Linked DNA regions of Lepisosteus oculatus. The protein of the gene in region 3 interacts with the protein of the main gene of each other region in a pairwise test. Links are inferred from orthologs where the notes say so. Each region holds a gene or a part of one and is shown on either strand. Other genes may lie near its edges.

Region 1 (7,566 bases), on a different chromosome or scaffold from region 3:
TACACGAACACCTACAAGCCAATAAATGAACTACAGGGTAGGAGTCCTGAAGATCAGGTGGTGAAGAAAAATTCCAGGTCCTATCCAGAAGACCTGCTGGGCATGATTTCTTTGGGGTCAGGAATGGACACCCTTCTAGCACACAGTAGCAAAAGTTTAAAGCTTTATTGGCAATGCCTGACTTAATATTCTTTTCCAACAGATAAAAATATCAAGTCTAAAACATAACATGTAATAATGCATTCTTCTTACACAGTTGCTTGTTGGAACAAGTCTGATGCCTTTCTGGGAAGCAGGCTGTTCTTACCAGAAGAACTACCAGCCACACCGCACAGGAAATGTTATCAAATCACCACAGGCAGATGAGAGCCTAAGAATGTTTTTCAATCAAGCTCATCTGCATTGATTGGTAATTAGTAGCTAATTGATCCAAGCACCTCATCCAGCCATTTCTTGAAAGAAGCAAGAGTAACGGCTTCTGTGTCCAGTGGTTTGAGTTTCACTGTTCTTTCTGAATAAATTGACTTGGTTGATATTGTCAATGCCTTTGAGGATTTTGAATACTTTTATCAATGATACAGTGTTATCATCCTTGTGGTCTTCTCCACATTAAAAAGCTTCAGCTCCTTCAGAACACTGCCTTCAGCCCCAGAACAGAATATCTTTGCTGTAACAGGATGACCAGAATTGTACACTGCATTATAAATGAGGCCTTACAAGCACATTATACAATTTTAACATTTAAAAAAGTTTAAACTGTTAGCTTTGTTTGCTTTTTTGCTTCCACAAATTGTGGAGAAGAAGAACTAAATTACATCACCCCAGTTGTAATATCCCTCGCTATCTGTAGTACCTTCTGTTTTCTCTTTAATGACTAATTGTCAACCCAATGGCCATCGTCTGCAATTTATAAATTAATTAGTTTGACAAACTATCAAAAGTCTTCTGAAACTCTAAATACAATGTATCATATGCCCTGTGTGTGTATTACACTTGTTGTTTGGTAAAATAATTCTATCCGTGTTGACTAACTCCTAAGATATTATTTCCAAATAGGTTATCCTCAAGTTTAGTTCTAATAATTGTTTCCATAACCATCTTATATTTAACAGTCAGACTTATTGGTCTATAATTACTTGGTTCAGTGGGATTGGTTTTACATGAGCAATTCTCCAGTCCTTGTAATCCCTAGAGCTACAAGCACAGTTGGTCATAATAGTACTTTTCTATCTTAAAGCAAGAGTTCCAGACTCTTGATTATCACTAATTTTGGACTACTTCATGTTAAATGAGATAGGCACGCCCAGGACCGTGTTAATTAGAGCCCGTAAAACCATTTCAAAGTATATGCCTTACTTTGTTTCTTTCATTTACCGTTCGTCTGTGACTTTTTTTGAACGCGCTTGTATAAACTGCATGCACAGATGAACCCAGCCTGTGTAGTTGTTTTTTTCCTACAAATTACAGGTAGTCACGTTTTATTAACCCGTTTCTGATGTTCACTCAGGTTTCAAGGTCTATAAGGAACCGCCTGGAAGGTTATCTCTGCTCTGGTCATTTTGAGGCCACTCGCGTGGACCTGAATCCTCAAAGGCTGTAATTCTTTGGCGCCACCTAGAGTAGAAAGCCAGGCATTGCAGCTATCTGATGGAAAACGTGTTTAAATGTCTTCCATTAATTGTATTAATGTGTGCAACCACAAAGATGATCGCGGATACATGCATCACCATTTTCGGAGGTTATTACATCAACTTTGGTGCATTTTAAAGGCAGTAAAGCCACCGAGTTCACTTTGAGAAAACAGTGGGATGCGGGATAATACGGGGATACAGAACTGGACCGCTGAACGCTTTAACTTTTTAAAAGGACACCCTAAGAAATCGGACAGAAAAGCAACCGCAGGTTACTGAACATCAGTTTTCGCCATGTGGTGTTTGTCTCTTTAATTTATTACGTCTTCCCCTTTTCGCTGCGTACAGATAAACTGACACAAAACTTTGTACCTTGGTTTGCAGTGTTTACACTGATATGGGTCATTTTCAAGAATGGAAAAACACGGTTGCTTCACCTCGAGACCGAAACAGGGGCGTGTGCGACAGCAGGGACCCACTTACAAATGCCAAATTAAAAAAAAAACTGCATTCCGTTTTGTGTAACAACGTTTGACTTTCAAAAGTCAGGCTTTGCGATTCTTTTCAACTTTATTCCCTTGCAAGTCCCCGTATATTTCAGCTTTATCTATACATTTAACAGGGTGCGTGTCCGAAATGATATTTTCGCGAGTATATTTACAGCATTTATCAAACAGTATTTCAGCCCAAACAGCGAGGCCTGTAGCTAATGAAAGTAAAAGCACAGCGAACCATAACATAGTTCAAAAACAAAGAGCGGCCCAAAAACGGAGCTTTAAGGAACTGCAATGGGCAACGGAAATTGGGCTGATCGCCAATACACACACTATCAAAGCCTGGACAAGAGATCTGAGGGGTTTTGTACTATTTTCTTCTTTGTAGGCTACTTACCATTCTGACAGTCCTATTCCTGCCTGAATGGAACAAAAAACGTCAGCCTACGACGAAGTCGGGTTGCGTCCAAAGTCGCTCCCGGAGGAAAGGGAAAAAAAACAACAACCTTCTGCTATTGTTCAAGTTTATTTTTTGATGAACACACTTCAACCTCAGCTCTACGTCCCTCGACGAATTCGTCCTTAGGCCCTTTCGCTTCCACCGTGTCCTTTCTCTTTCTCCCTATCTCTGGATGACTGGCATTCAAAACACCACCCACAAGACTGGGGGTGGAGGCCTGCGGAGACTGGTTTTTACGTTTATATTTTACTCAGGGGTCGGCAAAAAGTGTATTTAAGACACAGATGTGTCTCGAGAAGAAGTAGAAGAAGAGAAAAAAAAACGCGAGGCAGCTGTTTTCGAGACTTCGGGATGTGGAAGTTGTTTTTTCTTCCTTCGCTTTGTCGGTCAGAAACTGCTCAGCAGTTCCTGGCTGTCAAAAGCCGTGGAGAAAAAAACTGGAAAAAACTCAAGTCATACATTGTGGTTTGAAAAAAAGTCCGCCCTAATTTCCCTTAGTGTCTCTAGAGCGGTGAAGCCACAGCAGCAATATTATATATATGATACTATATTATATATTTTTATATAAACAATGCTAGTAAATCTGTATGTTTGTAATCTGAAATAATAATAATATGTAATCTGAAATAAAGTATAATAAATTAGATAGTGAACCGATACTGACTAATGTACATACAGTTCCCTCCAGAATTATTAGGGCAGTATCGTAGGTGAGATTAATATAATTCGTAAAGACAACATACGTTTTATTTTGGGATCACTCCAGGCAAACATTTTATCCTGGATTTGGCCAGTTTAAGAATTTCTACGTTTTATCCCGATGAACTGTTTGGTACTCGATCACATTGCCTGGGTCATTGTCTTGTTTGCACTGTGAGGTGCTGGCCCATAGATATTTTTTCTACGTATGCAAACAAAATCTTTCCTGAAGCCCCCACAATTACTTCCGCTTCTGCCATCACTAGTTTCATCATCAGTGCAGATAAGCGAGTTTCAGAGGTGTTTGTGCATGTGGTCCTTCCTTACTGACCACTCAATCATATGTACAGAACTAGTACATACATGTAAAAATAACTGCAAGGACTGTAGTCATCTACAATGAAGTACTATAGGACTGTAGTTATGTACACACGACTAAATGGACAGTAGTCACATGTACTGAACTAGGATTAGTCATGTACACATACAGTAACTAGATGCACTGTAGTCATTCACAATTAACTACATGAGCTGTGTTGTGCTAAAGTGTTATGCTTTGCACCGGCAAGTTTAATTTAGTGAGATATATATCACCTTCAATAAAATTCACCTCACTTATAACTATTTCGTATAGAAAAGCTTGAAGACAACCGGAAAACGAAGTGATTCTTGATTCAGTTCCTCTCAGCAGTTACTAGTAGTGCTATCTTTAAATTACACAGCTCTTCATTTGAACACCTGCAGGCATGACTTCCTTAAACTCTGAAATGGTAAAACCTAATGACAAAGGCCTGGATTTAACCACGGAAGCAAAACAGACATGTGTTTAAGCTAATATTTGTTAGTTCCTCCGTTGCGAACCACAGAGATGTCGAGTGCTATCGTCCAAGAGAGTTGCAAAAGATTAGCAAATAAAATCACAGAAGTCTTGTTGATAACGCAATTTAATTAACCTTTCCCCTTTCTGCAATACAGTAGTTGCATATTTAGAACAGAAGATAAGGGACAGACCAAAACGGAGACAGGAAAAATAAATATTTTTTCCACTTAATTTTAGTTCAGAATTGCTCAACTATTTTATAGATTTCATTCTTTAAAGAATCAGTAACTTCAGTCTTGATGTTTACATTTAATGTCTCCCTCTTGTGATTAATTACCGGTACTGCCGACGTCACCCTCAGTCATTCATTTCTAACATGAATGACTACACCACATCACTAGCTTTCGGTGGCATTAGTAGATGAAATGAGTGGTTTCTAATTTGGAACCGACACTTCAAAATATCTTTAAAATGCCATTTTTAACCTATGAAGATTTTATAGTTGTGTTGCATGGCTTTGATTATATGATATGCTGATGAAGCATTGACAGTCTTATTCTAGTTTAATACATGCAGGAAAATAATCAAAATAAAACTATCTTACCTGTTCTACCATTTTAATTTTTCTACACACAGTATACGGATAAAAAGTTATTAAGAATATGTACAGTTTGATTGTCTAAGTTAACTACTTTACTGCCTCATTGGAGAATCACAGTATGTTTAGGGTTATGCATCTTCTCAAGTTTAAATTGAGTTAATTGCATAACACCCCAAAACCCAGTATTAGCCTATTTGCTTAATGAGAACAAGTTAATTTGTTAACCAAATCTCACAAATCTTATTGGCTACTTAAATCAACCTGAGAACAGCCTGTGGGAAAACGGCTGTTCGAGATCAAATTTCCAGTGAAGAGGTTCATTTTGGTGATGTTGGTTTTCTTGCAAAGAAAGCTGTACCCTTTGACCTATGATGACTCTCATAACTTTCCTTAGGACACACACACCATACAAAGAGTAATGCGCACTTTGGCTTAGACTGCCCTGGAAGACCCATGGCAGCTGACTTGAATCTTTTTGCAGCCAGTTACTGTAAATTAATTCCTTGGCTTTTGTAATGTGCGAGTACAGTCCTTGCAATTACTGTGAAAGATTTTACATAGCCTACTTCGAGAAAAGAATTAATTATACACAATGAGGAAAATATATTTGATAAATAATTATATCTTAACACATAGTAAATTAATATTCTTAACTGAAATTTGGGAGGAATACTGACAATTTTAACCCAGCTGTTCTAAATCATCAATATTACTGAAGCGAGCTATTCCCATATTGCACACAACATGTAGCTTACGGCTACATATTGCACACACACAATAACTTTCTATTGTGGACTCTGTGGATGGATCACCCAAAGATTGACAAATCTCATTGCATATAATTCAACATGCATTCGATTCTGTTCACTTTAATTAAACCCAGGGCACAGTTTTCAAGGGTTACATTTTTCATTTCTTTTCAGAACACTAACTGTTCTAAAATATTTTTTTTTACATCCTAAAATAAATTCTTTAATTGAACAGATTTTAACCCAGAGACACAAATGAGAGAAAAAATGCATTTAATGATTCAAAGCATTAAAAAATCTCTTAAAGAAAGTTTTTGTGCACATGGCCAGTAACAGGGTTATAGGAGGTATCTTATAATTATTTCTGCAATGAACAGACAGTGGAGTAACATAACATTAACAATATACAAGTGTTAGATATCGCTTGGTTACTCAGAACTAGCATCACAGGTTCCATCTCACCATTTCAACTCTAATGTCAAACAGTCATTGCAGCACTTCTGCTGGTGATGTATCTTTAGAAGTTCTTATCAAAACAGTTAAAATACCATTTCTGGCATGATGGTAGAACAATAGCCAAGAAAATTTATTTTTTTATTCAAAAATATCTTGGGTAAAAAACCTGGTTCCAAAACTGAGTGCCACACCTTACCTTTGAACAAGTTGAAAGTGGACCCAGAAACCTAGACAACTCTGGTGCAAACAGGAGAAACAGACTATAGCTCAAGCAGCAGTAGTCTGTTGATATGAATTGAAATACTTCACTTTGATAAGGTGCAGCTAATAATTTACAGGTTACTGTTCACTCTTCAACTCCTGAAGTACTGTACGGTTAAGTAAATCACCACCGAATTAGAATATAATGAAGGCAGAAAAAGACATAAAGTTAGTCCTAAACAGCCATTTTAGGGTAGGAATAAATGGAAAAGGTATACATTATTAGTTCATAATGCAAAGCGACTTTTCCATATTTGGAATGGGAAAAAACACATTGCTTCCCAGATTCCAGCTTATGTGTAACATTAAAGTGCCACCTCTAACTATTCGTTATTAAAGACCCTCTGTCCATGTAACTTAGGTGGACAGATTTTTGAAGTATATTTCTCTACAATCAAACTTTGATTAGGACACTGCCCAGGTAACTGCCAACATTTGTTGACTATAAATGTAATTTAAACTAATATGTCCAGTTGTGAGCCTGAGCAAAATTACTCAGGCTCAGGGACATTCTTGTAACATTGTTCTCCTAGCTAAAAAAAGGTTCCTTCCAGAAAACAGAACTGGTTTTCTTAATCACGGTGCAGGCATGCATGCCTACAGAATGTCTGGGAAAACACTGTGAAAATGAATTTTCATAACATTTGCACAAACTAATACTATAGTAAACTCTATATCTGTTTACCCAAGAAAAAAATATATATATACACTGACATGTATACAATAATTCTTAAGTCTGTAAGATCTGAATTAATGATCTTGCTTACTTCAGAAAAAAATATTCATATAACCAAGTTGTGAGTATTTGTAATGGTCTGTGATGTACACACAGTACTTGAATAGTCCTACCTGTATATATAAATGTGGTTAAATAAATAAGGGAGGAAACATAATGGCAAAAAAACTCCTACATCAAAATGGGTGAGTTCCAAATTGGAGGATATAATGCCCTCTAGTGAACTGATGTGTTAGTACAGGTGGCATACAGCAGGCAGGTCAGCTCCAGACTGAGCAGTCATCATCGAACCTGTCTGAGATGCAAGGGGGGGCAGGGATGTGTTAGATTGTGTAAATCAAGGGGCACACACAGGTTGAGTAGGAGTACAGGGGTGCACCATTTACAGAGAAAATGGCTCACTCCCTTTTCCTTTTCAATTATCACAATTTCAAATACTTCAGCTCACTCCTCTGTCAAACAAACAAAAAAAGACAAGTGGCCAGAGGTTAGTGGGGAGCTCGGAGGGACATGGCGTGTGTGTGTGGAGTGAGAAAAACCTCCAGGCCGTACAGGCAGTGAGGACTCAGGGAGAAGGTTTGGAGCTCGAGGTGGGGATGACCCCCGTGGCCAACAGGATGATGATGAGGATGATGATGACAACGACAACAACGATGCAT
Region 2 (7,028 bases), on a different chromosome or scaffold from region 3:
AGTTCCACTGACCCCTGAAATAATTAGGGTATCCACTAGCAACCAAACAAGCTAAAATGGGCAGCCCTTTTTTCTGGAGTGAGGCAGCAGACCAGTACTGCGTTTTTACTCTTCCATATATAGTCATCAACTTTAAGAAAACACTGGTTGTCTAAAGCACTGAAAAAGCATTAATTTAAAATATTTTTGATGCCGAGAAGAATCACAAGCAGTGAAAATCTAAGTGTGTCTTTAAATTAATATACTTACAGGAGTGGCTTTATACACATGGACTTCAAAATCTATTTTTTTTACTAGGGGAAGCTGTGGTAACATAATAAGGACAATAACTGCATTAAACTGCAGTGCTGCTGCTGGAGCAAAACTCAAAGCCAGATATAGGAGCCCCACTGATATTCAGATGTGACTGTTTTAGGAGGGCTGCAGTCAGTACCTAGCTTACCGTTTTCAAAATTATACAGAGGCTGCAGAAAACTATTTCATAGCTTCGTGCTTCATATTAAAAATTGGAAACATTGCACGATTATGAACTTATACATGTACTGAGACTACCTGAAGCGGAGGCGTCTTTTGTGTGGATTGTAACAACAAATACACTACTTTTAGAACAACTGCCTCCCTGCATTAAACATTGAGATGTAAATTAAGCCATGTGAGAACCTGAAGACCTCAACTAATGAATTAGCAGTTCAAGAACTCTAAAACATATTGCAGTTCTGAAAACATAAAAATTATTTAAATGCTCGATTTTGTGTAGCATTTGCAGGCATCTAAAGGATTTATAATATATAGTTATGTTTAAAAAATGTTTTTCTGTCACTACAAATTCATTAGATATCTGTATGGGCAATCTAAATGTATTAAAATGTTAGCTATTCTTTGTTTGTCAGATCCCAGATCTGAATAAAGTGGAAAAACACAAACTGCAAAGAGCTACAAAAACGTTCATGTGACATTTAACAGTGAAGCAAAAACAATACATATCCCCAAAAATGTAAATTTCCATTTTATTATTCATGCAAAAAACGCCTATCAACAGACTAGGAAATGTATTTTAGCCATATTAAGCCAGCATCTTTAAATCTGAATCTACAGCAATGGTGCACACCTTTTCTGTCAGGGTCATGCAGGGCAATCTGAAAAACAAGGAAGGCAGGCCTGATAAGCATCACATTTTAAAAGCCCGTTGTTTTCAATATCCAAAGAAAAACTATATATTTCTAATCAGTATTGTAACACCACAGTATCAAACTACACAACCACTACAGAAACTGCTGAGTAACATTACTGTCGCTGAATAAATTCTCCGCACGACCCCAGGCTAAATCAATGTTTATTACGAATATATAACACTGCAAGGATTTCCATAAAATGCCGCTTACCCAAACATACCCCCCAGAAAGGAATGAGAGGATTTCACTTTCTTGTCAGCTTCAGCCATAAGATGAATGGCTTCGTTCTCTTTTCCTGAAATGTCCATTTTGTAGGGATGGACAAATATACAAACTCAATATGCGTCTTGTAAAGGTTTCAATTTTTTGGCTATTTGATGTGGATACAATCCGATCCGACCCGTTGACCGCAAGGCGCCGCGGGAAATGTAGTTTATGCCAACATCGAAATAAATTTACAAAATAAGCGGATGAGAAGGGCAAAAAACTCCACTTCCCAGAAGCGCATAACCAAGGGGTTACAGTATTATGCGTGTCGCTTGCACCAGAGAGCTAATCACGTTTTAAGAACTGTGTGACTTGGTGTGATTGTGATAGTTTTGTAAATTACATATTTTGTTCTACAATGCATTCTCTGACTACATTAATAAATCATTATATAATTGTTTACATTATATTTTGTTATTCTTTCATCAAAAATATCAGAATGCTATAATGTCATCTCTAAAATCCAATTTTGATTCACGTATTGAAAATAGTATTCAATGTACATTCTGCTAACGCATAGTACTATTAGTTAAAAACAACTACTCCTTGGAGAGTACATTTGTCTCGGCCATAAGCTAAAACAGACTCGGCCCTGAGTTATCGGTATATTCCTATAAGCGTATCTTATTTTAAACTGTTAAATAACTGTCAAACTTCGTAATTATGATTTGCGGTTTATTTTAACACATTAATATGACGTTTTCTAAATTGTCCTTTAAAGCATTTGAAAAAGAAATCATTCACTAGCATTTGATTTCGGAGAATCGCTGAAATGCAGCAACTCGAATTAGCTTTCCTACATATATATGATTTAGGTCTACAGTTACGTAATTTCAAACGGGGTATATGCAATGCTTTGATAAGATTTAAAAAATGGAGATGTCACTTGTATTATTGTTTCAAAAAGAAAAGCAGCTTTATCATACAACTTAAAGATGTGTCATGAAGGTGGGACTGCCTTGGGTTCCACAATGCTGAAAATCAGTTGGCATCTATATTCTCTCATAATCCCAAAAATCCTACAATCAAATTTCGTAAAGTTATAAATAAAAAAAAACACTCGGGTTTTACATGGGGATATAAGATAACAAATCCCCTTCTTTTGGTCATATTTATATAACTTGATGTGAACTCGATGGCCATGGGAGGAGTTGCAATAATTCCACAGAGAAGGCCTTTGGCAGATTAACATTTCAAATACACGAAAAAACTCCAATGAGCTCTGTACGCCTTTCTAAAAGGGGAAAAAATGGCAACATATTTATTTCAGAAAGTAAGTGCAGATGTCTTCCATTTTTAAAAGGAAAAAAAAAATTAAAAACGTACCCCACCCCCACTTAAACGTACTGTCAGTAAAATGCTGCTTACCCAAACATACCCCCCAAGAACGAGTGGGAGGATTTCACTTTCTTATCTGCTTCAGCCATAAGTTGAATGGCTTCCTTTTCTTTGCCGGTGTTGTCCATTTTTATTAATATATGTGTTTTAATCAACAATTCTCAAATACTAACGCATCAGCCTCTGGTGGCCGTAGATAACAGTCAATGATTTTATTTACTACCAGCACCGGTGTGGTTCATCCGCCGAATGGCAGTTTGGGATATGTAGTTTGTTCATCTTCAATAATTGCACAACATATTTGCAAAAGAACTACTTGTCCCAAGAAGCACATCAACTTGTTCTGCGGATCACCGGATTCAGTCTCTCCACTGAAAAAGTAGGGATTATGTGCGTGGTTCTACAGTACGTGATATACTGTAGCACGGTGTTTGAATGTTTGATTAATTTACTTCAATATTTGGTTTTGGAGAGTGTAACTGAACATCTCTTTTCATTAAACCAAGTCAGATGCAGTGACCTTATTCTGAAAATAAAAACGAACGCTTGGGTTTTATATACTCTATTTTCAGAACTTTGTTCGTAATACATAATAAATAATAATGCATACAATGACAGTCATTCACAAATTTCTTAAACATCTATTTTGAAACACTTGAATTTCACAGTATTTTATATAAATAGTATTGCATTATTTTGAGAACGTTCTACGAAAATATGATAGATTTCTATGCCTTTGAAACAAACTTAATAGTACTGTTCTTTTTCTTTTTTGTTCAAGGTAAACTGTTTAACTGTTCACGATTTTAAAAAATAGGCTTTAGTGCTACTATATTTGCGTAACTTAAACATCTTTCCTAACAGTAAAATATTACTTACGTAAGTAAGAACCATTTTGCTTTGTTTACAGAATATGTTATATTTTATTGGCCTACACATTTTGCTTAATTAAAAATCCACATATTTGTACATTTACTGGTTGTATTAGGTAACAGATATAATCAATTCTCTATGGGCATATATATGTTCTAGAATAATGTGATATTTTATGGAACAAACATATTCTATTGTTTGGTTCAGGTGCGTAGCTGCATAAATATGTGTAGTCTGCAAACGAAAAAGTTATAGGTTTATTCCATGCTGAACAGAGAAGAGAGAAAACACAATGTTTCAGCCGTGGAGCCTTTTGAAGAAGGCTCCACAGCTGAAACGTTGTTTTCTCTCTTCTCTTTCAGCATGGGATAAACCTCTACTTGTTCCTTTGTATTCTATTGTTTGTACATTTGCACTGTACTGTAAAATGTGAACTTGTGTATTATATATACTGTAATGTCTACTTGTTTCACACATCTGTACTGTACTGTGAGCACATATTGTGACTATTTTTGTGTCTCCCCATCTTTTGTATATAGTCTAATGTAATTATGTCAGTAATATTGATGCTGGTTTTGCACCTGTGTGGGTTTTGAGTTGAGCAGGTTCCAAATGTGCAAAGGCACATTCCTGTACCTGACACGTACTGGTGAATAAAAGTTATTCTGATTCAGATTCAGTTGGTGCTGAAAATGTATCTGGGTTCTTATAGCCTTTTCTTAATTAATTTAATAATGTAGTAGGATTTAATAGAGCAGGAAAAGCTCTTTTTTTACTTTAGGGTTTCCTATTCATTCATTTATTACAAGATCTGATATACAATATTGTTATAGGGAGGAATGGAGCAAAATCTCACTCTGCTCCTTTCAGGGAAGAAGGCATACTTAATTAGTTGCATGAATATAGTGCTTTTTCATCCAAAAGGATGTTCCAAAGTGTTTTACGTGCAGATGGGGACTTGCTTCATTCACCATTAATGCATAACCAAATTGGGTGGTCACACATAAGCCATTATGACACCAACAGTCCCTCAATACAGCTATAACCCAGATAGCTGAGAAATTGCTTCACCAGTTTCATTAATGGAAAGATTTAGGTAAGAGACTATGCACATTGGAATAGCCACTAGTGCAAAGTACCTGGAGGTATGTGTGCAAAATAACTTGAATGCTAATCACTAATTAAGTATTAGAAATGGGTTCTCTATTAGCCTAATATTGAATGTTTAAATTATTTGTTCTACACCTTTAAATTCAATGGATACTTACAGTAAAAACTACTGGAAAACTTAAAGTGTTTTATTTTTTTATGCAGTAAGCCACAAGACCACAGTGTACTACAACTTAATGATCTTCACCATTCAGTGCTTTATATTTAGGTTGTTATCATGCAGGTTTGGTTTTAATCTAGACAGCCTTTTATCTTGTTAAAATTATTGTTTTTTTCCAGGTCTGTGTGGAAACTAAGTACATGAAATTTGCAGATTAGACACATACTATGTATGAGACACATATGTTTCTTATAGTGATAACAGTGAAGTAGCACTATCTAACACTATTCCACAAAAGAGGCCTTTGAGGAACAAGTAATAGGTTTATTCCATGCTGAAAAAAAGAAGAAAGAAAACACGTTTTCGGCCGTGGAGCCTTCTTCAGGTTTGAGAAAGACAAGGTAGTAAGCAAAGGTAATGTAGCGGAAGAACAAAGGCTGGGAGAGAGGAGGAGCGAGAGGCGGGAGCAGGAGACAGAAAGAGAGGCCAATCAAGAGGTGTGAAGTCAGAATAGGTGTCGAGAGGTGTGAAATGAAACCTCCAATGAATGGAGAAAATTTAGAAGAAAAGTAGTCTGTCATTAAGGGAAGGGGGAAAGTGTGATCCTAGCTGCAGGATAATTTTGGTTTCTGTAGTCTTTCTGATGTTTGAGTTCGGAAAACCGTCTTTGAGAACACAGACGGAGAGATTAGAGTGGTCATGGCCGTCAGAGGTGAAATGGGAAACAATGGGCTTGGAGAGATCTTTAATCTTCACAGCCCTTACATGTGCTCTGAAGTGGTCTCCAAGTCTCCTTCCTGTTTCTCCAATGTAGATGGCTGGGCATTTACTACAATAGATACAGTAAATAAAGTTGCTGGAGGTACAAGAAGCCATCTGGGTGATCTGGAATTGTCCTGAGGGGACAATAGTCAGATTAGGCCTTAAACCACGATAAATTGAACACTGTAAACAGGGAAGAGGCAGAAAAGAATAGGAAGACTGGAGAAATTAACACTGGAGAGAGCTGCAAGTGGGACATGAGAGAGAAACATCCTCCTACAGACCAAGAGACCAGAACATGTCCAGTTCTGCCTTAAAAATGTTACTTGTTGTTTTATTTTATTTATAGAATTCACAGGCTAAGAGACATTTCTCATTATGGAGTTATGCAAGATTCTGAATATGAAAATTTCCTTTTTTACAGTATTTGTTCTAGAGCGATAATTAGTCCTGAATGGGATCCTTTTATTTCAAAGGATGAAGGTTCCCTTTTTGCCTTTTTAAGTTGTTTGCCTCTCTGTTTCAGAGAAAGCTCTATGTTTTCAGTGTCTGATGAAGGCTAGACCTGTAAATATCTGTCTCTAGCTGTGGAACATTATGTGTGTTCTATAGGGAAGCATAGTAACACAGTAATATACAAAGAATATACAAAGTATTCCCTGACTGTAGGGGTGAAATTAATATTGATCGAATTTGCTTGCATAGTAAACAAATGTCCTAAACAAATTAAGTGATATTTAATTGTAAATTATAATAACACCCCTATTTTTAAGTATTTTTAGTTGTGATAGGTAAAGTGGAAAAAGCCTTTTGTGATACTGATATTTTCCACCAGGTGGCAACAGCAAGCTACCTTCTGACTTGTCCTTCGACGATAGCATTTCCTTAAAACCTTGTACACGGTTAAAACAAAACACTATATAAAAAATAATAAAGGTTAAAACATTTCCAACTTCCAATGTACTAATAATTTTATTTTAAAAATGACACTAGGCATAAATGTGCAGATCGTTAGGGAAATTTTGGAGGAAACATTTAAGTATATTTTTCCATTGAAGTATGTGGATTGTTACTATACGCCAACAGTGACAACACGCATGATAGGTCTCTGAAATATTAAATGCGGTTGCATGGATTATTGCATATGCCTTTAATTTAGAGATATGGTCATGTGTGACATCCATCCAACCATTTTCTATCTGCTTTACCTCTATACAGGGACCAATCCGATGTTGGGAATACACCTTGGATTAATTCAATTAACCTAAGTTTGTCTTTAGACACCTGGAGGAAATCGGAGCGCCTGGCAAAAATTCACACAAACACGAGGGGAACATACAAAGTCC
Region 3 (7,131 bases):
CAAACATCACTCTGTTTATTCTGCTTATATTGGTGGAGCCTGTTTCAATGACAGAGGGTTTTCAAAGCATGTCAATCAAACTCCAAAAACCAGATGCTGCCTCTGTCCGGCCTTTATCGGCAAATAATCCAGAAATAAGGCCAAGATCGACAAGAGAATCAGCCTCCCTCACAACGACAATAAAACTGACGTCCCCCTTCAAAACAATCACTGTCTTTCTGGTTGAGTCTACCCCATTACATGAATATTCCTGCTACCAGTCTTTCAAAGAGGTCAACAACAATTTCATCTTCATCGCTGTACGTGCTGTACAGAAGTGGGAAAAATGTCCATGAGAAAGGAAACTCAATTAATCTCAGGAAGGAGCCATTAAGAGCTCGGCTTTAGGAAAGCAGGTCAGAATGGAAATAACAGGAGGGCAAGCATGTGTCGGCCTGTGCCTTTGTATTAAATTCAGGCATGATGAGAAAGCAGACTGCACAGATAGGGTCTGCCTGTGGCCTCCCACCTCATTACTGATGAGAGGCCTGGACGCCACAGAACAGACACAAGCAGCCTCCCTCGGAGCAACAGCGAGAACGGCCTGTCAGTCTGACTCACTGCCATGCTACAATACCGCAGGACCCATTTATGCAGCTGACATCAAAACGGGAACTACGGAGAGTGGTCACATTTTATAGTCATCCTCTGCTCAGCATGTTTTTGGCTCTAATTTAGAAAAGCTGACCTTGCCATTCGAGAAGGCTCACTAAGTTACTTAGCTCTCCCTCCCCACCCCAATTGGTGCTCTGAGCTCCTCAGCACATTGTGGGAATGCGCAGTCGACTTTCACAATAAAGCACACTGTGGCGAAGTCAGCTGGTGAAACTGCCCGACCAAAGACCTTGACCCCGCTCTGCGAAGAGTTGCAGGAGGGGAAGGCGAATGGAGGAGCTGCTCAGCATGCATCCTTATGAATTCCATTATGGAGCAGGAGACACGGCATTTCAAATGCCTGTTGGTTCAGACAGATGGCCGAGAACGAGCACAGGCAGGTCCCTTAAGCCCACAGCACGCGATCTGGACCACAGCTCTGTGAACATTGAGACCCGCGACAGCAAATTAAAGAAATTAAAAGAGCTGCCGATATTTTCTTGTTTGGGGACCTGCTTTGTAGACAAAACAGCACTGCAGGAGAGGCTGTGCCCCATGCGAGGAGACCAAACCAATATCACAGGCCCAGAACGGGGAGGGAAGGAGAATGGACAGAGGACAGAATCTGTACTCCGCGCACGGATACGGGAGGCAACAGCATCAGAGCACAAGACGATAAACAAGTCTTTCATCAGTCTCTCTCACTGTCGGGGAGCACAAAACTGTCGGAGTAGAGAGGCAAAGCAATGGGAGACAGACACTGTGTGCCATCCAGCAGCAGGGAGCTGCTGGCAGAGCAGACCACCACAATACAAGCACAAAGGGGCATCGTATCACGCCAGCAATCAAGGGCACAGTGCAGGCCAAGCCAGGCATGCACAGAGCTCACTGTGTAGCACGCTGTGCAAGAAACACAACACCAGTCCAGGCAACATGCAGCACAGGCAAGGAAACCAACAACCCAGGCAACATCACAAGAAGCATCGCAGGACTGCACAGGGTACAGTGTACGTAGGTTCATCTCCTGTCAACTTCAGACTTTTGACTGCAAAGCCGAAGTGTATAAACCCAAACACCTTACACATTACCGCCTTCTCTGAGTAGCAGTTTTGATCCAGTCATGTGCTGAACCACACATGCCATTTTATTACCGACAGCTGTTTAAGAGCTACACTAACACCTGCTCTTCCGTCAGGAAACTTGTGATCTCCCGGGATCTGCACTTCCCCGCTTCACGGCACTAAACGTCTCCAAGGAGACGGGACTGAGGAAGTAGCACGACTTTCCCTATATTCAGGATACCCCAAAAAGGCGCCGGACTTCATTCGCCGGGGCCACGACGGGCCTACACGTCGACAGGTTGAAGGGAGCGCCGGGGCAGGTCTGCATTACGGCCTCGTTTAGCGAGGGACACCACAAACCTGGAGGCCAGGGGACAGTATAGTGCCGTATAGTCTGTCCAGGGGTTCAGCTTCACGGTGGACTGCAGCCTTTTGCAAAACGGCTACGCTACAGAGGCTGCCGAGCGTCACTAGACAGAACCCCCGGTTTCGGGGTGAAAACATGCAGACGAGAGACGGGTGTTAATCGCCAGCCTGAAGGAGGCCCCAACACACACACACACTTGCAAACGTGCAACGTACTGTACGGCGCTTACGTTAGCAATGGTTACCAGCCGCAGGGGCCGAGGCGTAAAAAGCCAACACACACTTAACACGCAACAAGATCCGCGCCCTCATGCCCGTTCTTTCACATGCATCCCCCACGACACGTAGGAAATAAAATGTCAAAATAAAGAAGCCGCCACACACGGGGGAAACAAAAACAAACTCAAATGTCAAACGGTCAGGATGAGGAGACTCACCGCAGCATTGCTACGCGTGTTCAAATGACGGGGGTCGAAAGTACTCACTTGCTCAGCCAATATTTGTCGGTTTTGGATGGCATTGTTCCGCATTAGCAAAAAGGCATCAGTCAGACGCCTGGTTGCCATGGCTCCGCGCACAGTAATTAAAACCTGCGAGCCGAAAAGCACAGGCAGCCGCGGAGCAGGAGGCTGGCTCAGATACTGTAGGAGCTAACCCCGAGACGGGCTTGCCGGAAAGCCGACACGGACAGGAGAACAGCCCCCTCCAGCCTCGCCGAGGACAACTGGGAGGCCGTCTCTAGACTGCCATGATTCCCCCCTCCCCTCCCCAGCTCAATACGGGGGAGGCCGAGCCAAGCAGCGAGGATATGAAATGCTGCGGTCTAGTCGGAGAGCATCGCGGGCGCTAACTCTAACACACGCAGGACGAAACGTCAACACCACTAGTGCGCAAACCACTCCACTTCCTGTCTCTGTCCCCGTCTCCTCCGCTGCGGGCTTCCGCAGGAAACAGGCACGGCACAGTCCAGGTTTATGTGCCACAACCGATTTTTTCTTCGCCTCGGTAATTCTCGGAGGAGGTTTCGTCTGTTTCCGCCACACTGAGGGCCATACCGTATAGTAACTGTAGTAGACACAAGCGCAGGGTCACCCAGCAGGGTGTGTGTGACCTGTCCTGTCCGTAGCATGAAAGCAGTGCACTGCAGAGCAATGCATCCTCACACTTATATAGCGCTTTTCTGGACACTCCACTCAAAGCGCTTTACAGGCAATGGGGAATCCCACTACCACCACCAGTGTGCAGCCCCTCCTGGCTGGTGCCGATGGAAGATTTGGACAGGACAACCTGGGATTTTTAATGACCACAGACAGTCAGAACCTCGGTTTTATATCTCATCTGAAGGAAAGTTTCTTACAGTATAGTGTCCCCATCACTGTTCTGGGGCATCAGGACCCACACACACTGCAGGGTGAGCGCCCCCTGCTGGCCCCACTAACACCTCTTCCAGCAGTTTCCCCAGGAGGTCTCCCATCCAGGTACTGACCAGGTTCACACCTGCTGAGCTTCAGTGGGCTGCCAGCTGGAAGTTGCAGGGTAAACAGGCTGCTAGCAAAACAGTTTGGCATGTAAAATGAGTATCTGGGCTTACATCAGAAGCAGTCTTTAGGGTTCAGGATTCGTACCAGGGAGGCTGTGGGTTCGAATCCACGCTGAGAGATGGCTGTTGTACCCGTGAGTAAGGTCCTTCACACGTGAGCTGCTCCAGGAAAAACACCTGGAGTGGCTGTGGACAAAACCCCATTTTAAACAGCACCCCCTGGAAGGATTAAATTATGTATTCCTAGATTAACTAAATCATAAAAATGTTCGATTATCTATGTGAGAAAATGTCACGTTACACTATCAATAGCAAAAAAATAAATAAATAAAGCTGAACGCTACAGGTGAAAGAGAAACCATATTGAATTTTGAATGCGTCCTTGGAACAACAACAGAAGCTGTGTCGAGGCTCATAAAGCAGCTCTCCAAAAAGTTTCCAAGTACTGGAGACAGCAATCAACCGACAGAGCGCCATCTAGTGGCGTGGATGTCCGTTATTCCTACATTACACATGTCGGACGCTAGAGGGCGGAGAAGATCTACTTTTCTAAAATGTATTGAACAACGCGCCCGGCTAACGCCGTCTCTGCCTTTCAAACATAACGATGAAGGAAGAAATGTGCAATCACCGATGATCGCCCAGTTCTTCAGGAATTAAACCCTTCGCACACAATGCTGATGTTTACCGGCACCTGTGTAAATCTTTGGGACAGTGTTTATACTTTCTAGTACTAATCACACAATTAACCTTTAGATACACCTATTGAACAAACAAGTTCTTTTGTTTTTGAATGCCTTTTTTTTAAAGTCAGTTGCAGCGTTGGCTTGAAATAAATTGATGCGTGTTTGTGGATCTATGAAGGAATCGCATAAAACTGGAAAGTGATGCGCGGAGGAATGCAAATTGCAGAATTGATTTAGCGCGGTTCTTCGTGGGTCTTTTCAACGCCGTGATCTGGACAGTGTGATGAATGAAGCAAACATCGTGGGGGGGGGGGATTCTGTTCAATACTGTGTGAGCGTTGTGGTTAAAACGGGTCTCGGCTGCAAGGGATGTCATGGGATTAAATATCTTTATTGCTGAATGGAGACATATCTGAGGAGTTCTACAGAAGCACCTGAAATCCTGGATGCAGCGGAGTGACAGCAGATGCAGGATAATTTTCCGACAGGTGAAGGATCTAAAGACACAAGTACAAGTCTCTACACAAAAGCGTTGCGCGTGTCTGAAACAAACCGCCCAGACGTGTTTCTGCCACCGATCCTCTGGGATCTCGGAAGAAATGCGCGATGGAGAGAAAAGCGATCGGTCCCGGCGATCTGTCGTTCGCAACCCTTCGTACATGCCCGTGCGCGGGTTCCCGAGAGGAGCACCCTTCACAGGGATCTGATCCCAGCCCGACACCAGTGCGCGCACCCGCCCGCTGCGCCACAGCACATCCGGCAGGCCTGTCGCCTCCAGAGCACGCTTCATCTGGGAAGCGCTCGCGTCTCCCTTCCAGGCTATAGAGCAATCAAGAACAACAACTACCTCCGCACTTCAGTGAGGTGATAACACCCCAGGCAGGAAAATGAAATAAATAAGATCACTTTGTTAGCCATATACAATTTCTTGCATTAGGAATTTTGTCTTTTTCGCATACCCCAGCTTGCCCTCCATGAGACACACGGACAGGGAGAGAGAAGCTGGGGGTCAGAGCGCAGGGTCAGCCATTGTACAGCACCCCTGGAGCAGTTGGGGTGAAGGGCCTTGCTCAGGGGCCCGACGGAGTAGGATTCCTCTGCCGGCCGCGGGAGTTGAACCGGCAACCTTCCAGCCACAGGCGCAGATCCTGCTGTCAAGCAGTTGCAGTCTAATGGCGCTAACAGGTAGAGTTATTTGTTTTTTGGGGGGTGAGGGATTTCAAACAAAAAATGTTATTCTTTTGTAATAGTAACAGGAAGAAAAGAAAGAGCCTGAATTGCAGTAGAACCATGTCAAGAGGAGTAGCGCTCTTCAGGAGTAATAACAATTCCAGAAGTTAAAGTAAGGGGACGGGAAAAAGTGCTGATAATTGCAGGAGCAGAGCAGTTGCAGTAAAGCCGCCGTTAGCGCTGGTATTATTAGTGTAACGTGACAGAGCACTCGGTCAATCGCAGTGCTGTCTGTTCCCCTCCCCGCTCACTGCAGCAGCTGATCAAACGCTCGGCGCTGTCGCCCCGACTTCAGAGGGGTCCCAGACAGATTAATGGCCCCTGGGCTGGCGGAGCTGACCCCCTGACCCCAGGGACTGGAGAGCAGACGGCGAGACCCCGTGGCGCGCCCCGGTCCCTGCCCGCACGCCCCTCCAGGTCACGGTGACGCGGTGCTCGACTCGGCGAAGGAATTTCACGATTTCATTTCCAAGGCACAGAAAGGCAAAAATCGCGATGAATAATAATCGCGATTCTTTGTGTAGGATGTGGTCTAGTAATGTCCTAGACAGTGCACTACAGATAAAGGGTATAATACAGAAACATGCGATAAAAAATAGAAGTTCGTCGATAGAAAAATATACCATTAAATTAAATAAAGGGACCTACAAAATTAAAAATCCCTGACGCTCCAGGGAAGGGAAATTATTCAGAATAGGCACATCGTAAGAGATCACTTTTAGAAGGCAGGTATACAGTGCAATAACCTGTCTTTTGGTATTTATGTGCTGTAATTTGTTTATGAACGCAGATGGGCATCAAACATCGTGACTGATACCCTACTAATCTGTCACCTGAAGTAGTTCATGTGGGGAGCCGCGTCACCATGCGCAGGCTGCAAAGGAATAAGAAAAGGTTTATTTACCTCCACCCCTCATCCGTGAGCACCTGTGCTCCACCCCCTATAGGTGTATGCCTATACCCCGCGCCTTAGAGTGAAGCACATGGTTTCACAAGGCCTTTCGAAAGGAACATTTCCTGCGCCCACCTGCGTTAAGAGCGCTAACGAAAAGAACGGAGCAGCACGTGTTTTCTTTTGGCCGGAACCAAAAGCGCTCTCTGAATGCAGTGGCGGGGCATCTCCGCCTTTCAGACATCTCAGCCCGTCAGCCTCTCGGGGACCCCGTTCTCTTCCAGATCTCCCCCCCCCCCCGACCTCGTCCCTTCCCTCCGTACTGTAAGGGCCTGGTGGATGCTGCGGAATTCCACCCTCGCCTGGATCCGTGGTTTTAATTTGGGTCGGGCGCTTCTGGGTCTTGCTGTTTCTGGACCGCCTCACCAGGGCTCTCTCCGCCCAGCTGTCGACGAGCGGTGCGGCTTCACTCTGGTGCTGGTGCTGGTGGGGAGGGCAGCGTGCCCAGCGCGGTCTGGGGGGGCGGGGGCGTGCGGCATGCGAGCTGGTGTTGAGGGAGGCTCCTGCCGGCTCCCCTTGGGAGTGATCCTTGTTTTCCCGAGCACTGTGCCCAAGAGCCTGGGCTGCTGCCGTCATCCAGGCCCAGGAGGAGAGCATGCTGGCCTGCAGAGGGCGCCAGAGATGAGTACAGAATCCTAGACTGCCAGGCATGTGTGAGGGAGG

The links.
Region 1: the proteins of stx16 (region 3) and vamp5 interact in binary tests that used the Homo sapiens proteins (3 or more experiments, as listed by UniProt). The two-hybrid records come from large-scale screens. The link is inferred for Lepisosteus oculatus from reciprocal best matches to the Homo sapiens genes STX16 and VAMP5.
Region 2: the proteins of stx16 (region 3) and napbb interact in binary tests that used the Homo sapiens proteins (3 or more experiments, as listed by UniProt). The two-hybrid records come from large-scale screens. The link is inferred for Lepisosteus oculatus from reciprocal best matches to the Homo sapiens genes STX16 and NAPB.

The regions. Positions count from the first base shown.
Region 1 is NC_090697.1:68,593,080-68,600,645, reverse strand, and holds the start of vamp5 (vesicle-associated membrane protein 5), read right to left. Parts: upstream 3,015-7,566; 5' UTR 2,526-3,014; coding exon 2,523-2,525; intron 1-2,522. Other genes in the region: vesicle-associated membrane protein 8-like, read right to left, coding at 7,473-7,566. UniProt on the Homo sapiens protein: May participate in trafficking events that are associated with myogenesis, such as myoblast fusion and/or GLUT4 trafficking.
Region 2 is NC_090697.1:40,421,387-40,428,414, forward strand, and holds the start of napbb (beta-soluble NSF attachment protein), read right to left. Parts: upstream 3,015-7,028; 5' UTR 2,906-3,014; coding exon 2,808-2,905; intron 1,468-2,807; exon of another isoform or gene 1,442-1,467; coding exon of another isoform or gene 1,383-1,441; intron 1-1,382. UniProt on the Homo sapiens protein: Required for vesicular transport between the endoplasmic reticulum and the Golgi apparatus.
Region 3 is NC_090711.1:3,135,876-3,143,006, forward strand, and holds the start of stx16 (syntaxin-16), read right to left. Parts: upstream 3,013-7,131; 5' UTR 2,627-3,012; coding exon 2,498-2,626; intron 1-2,497. UniProt on the Homo sapiens protein: SNARE involved in vesicular transport from the late endosomes to the trans-Golgi network.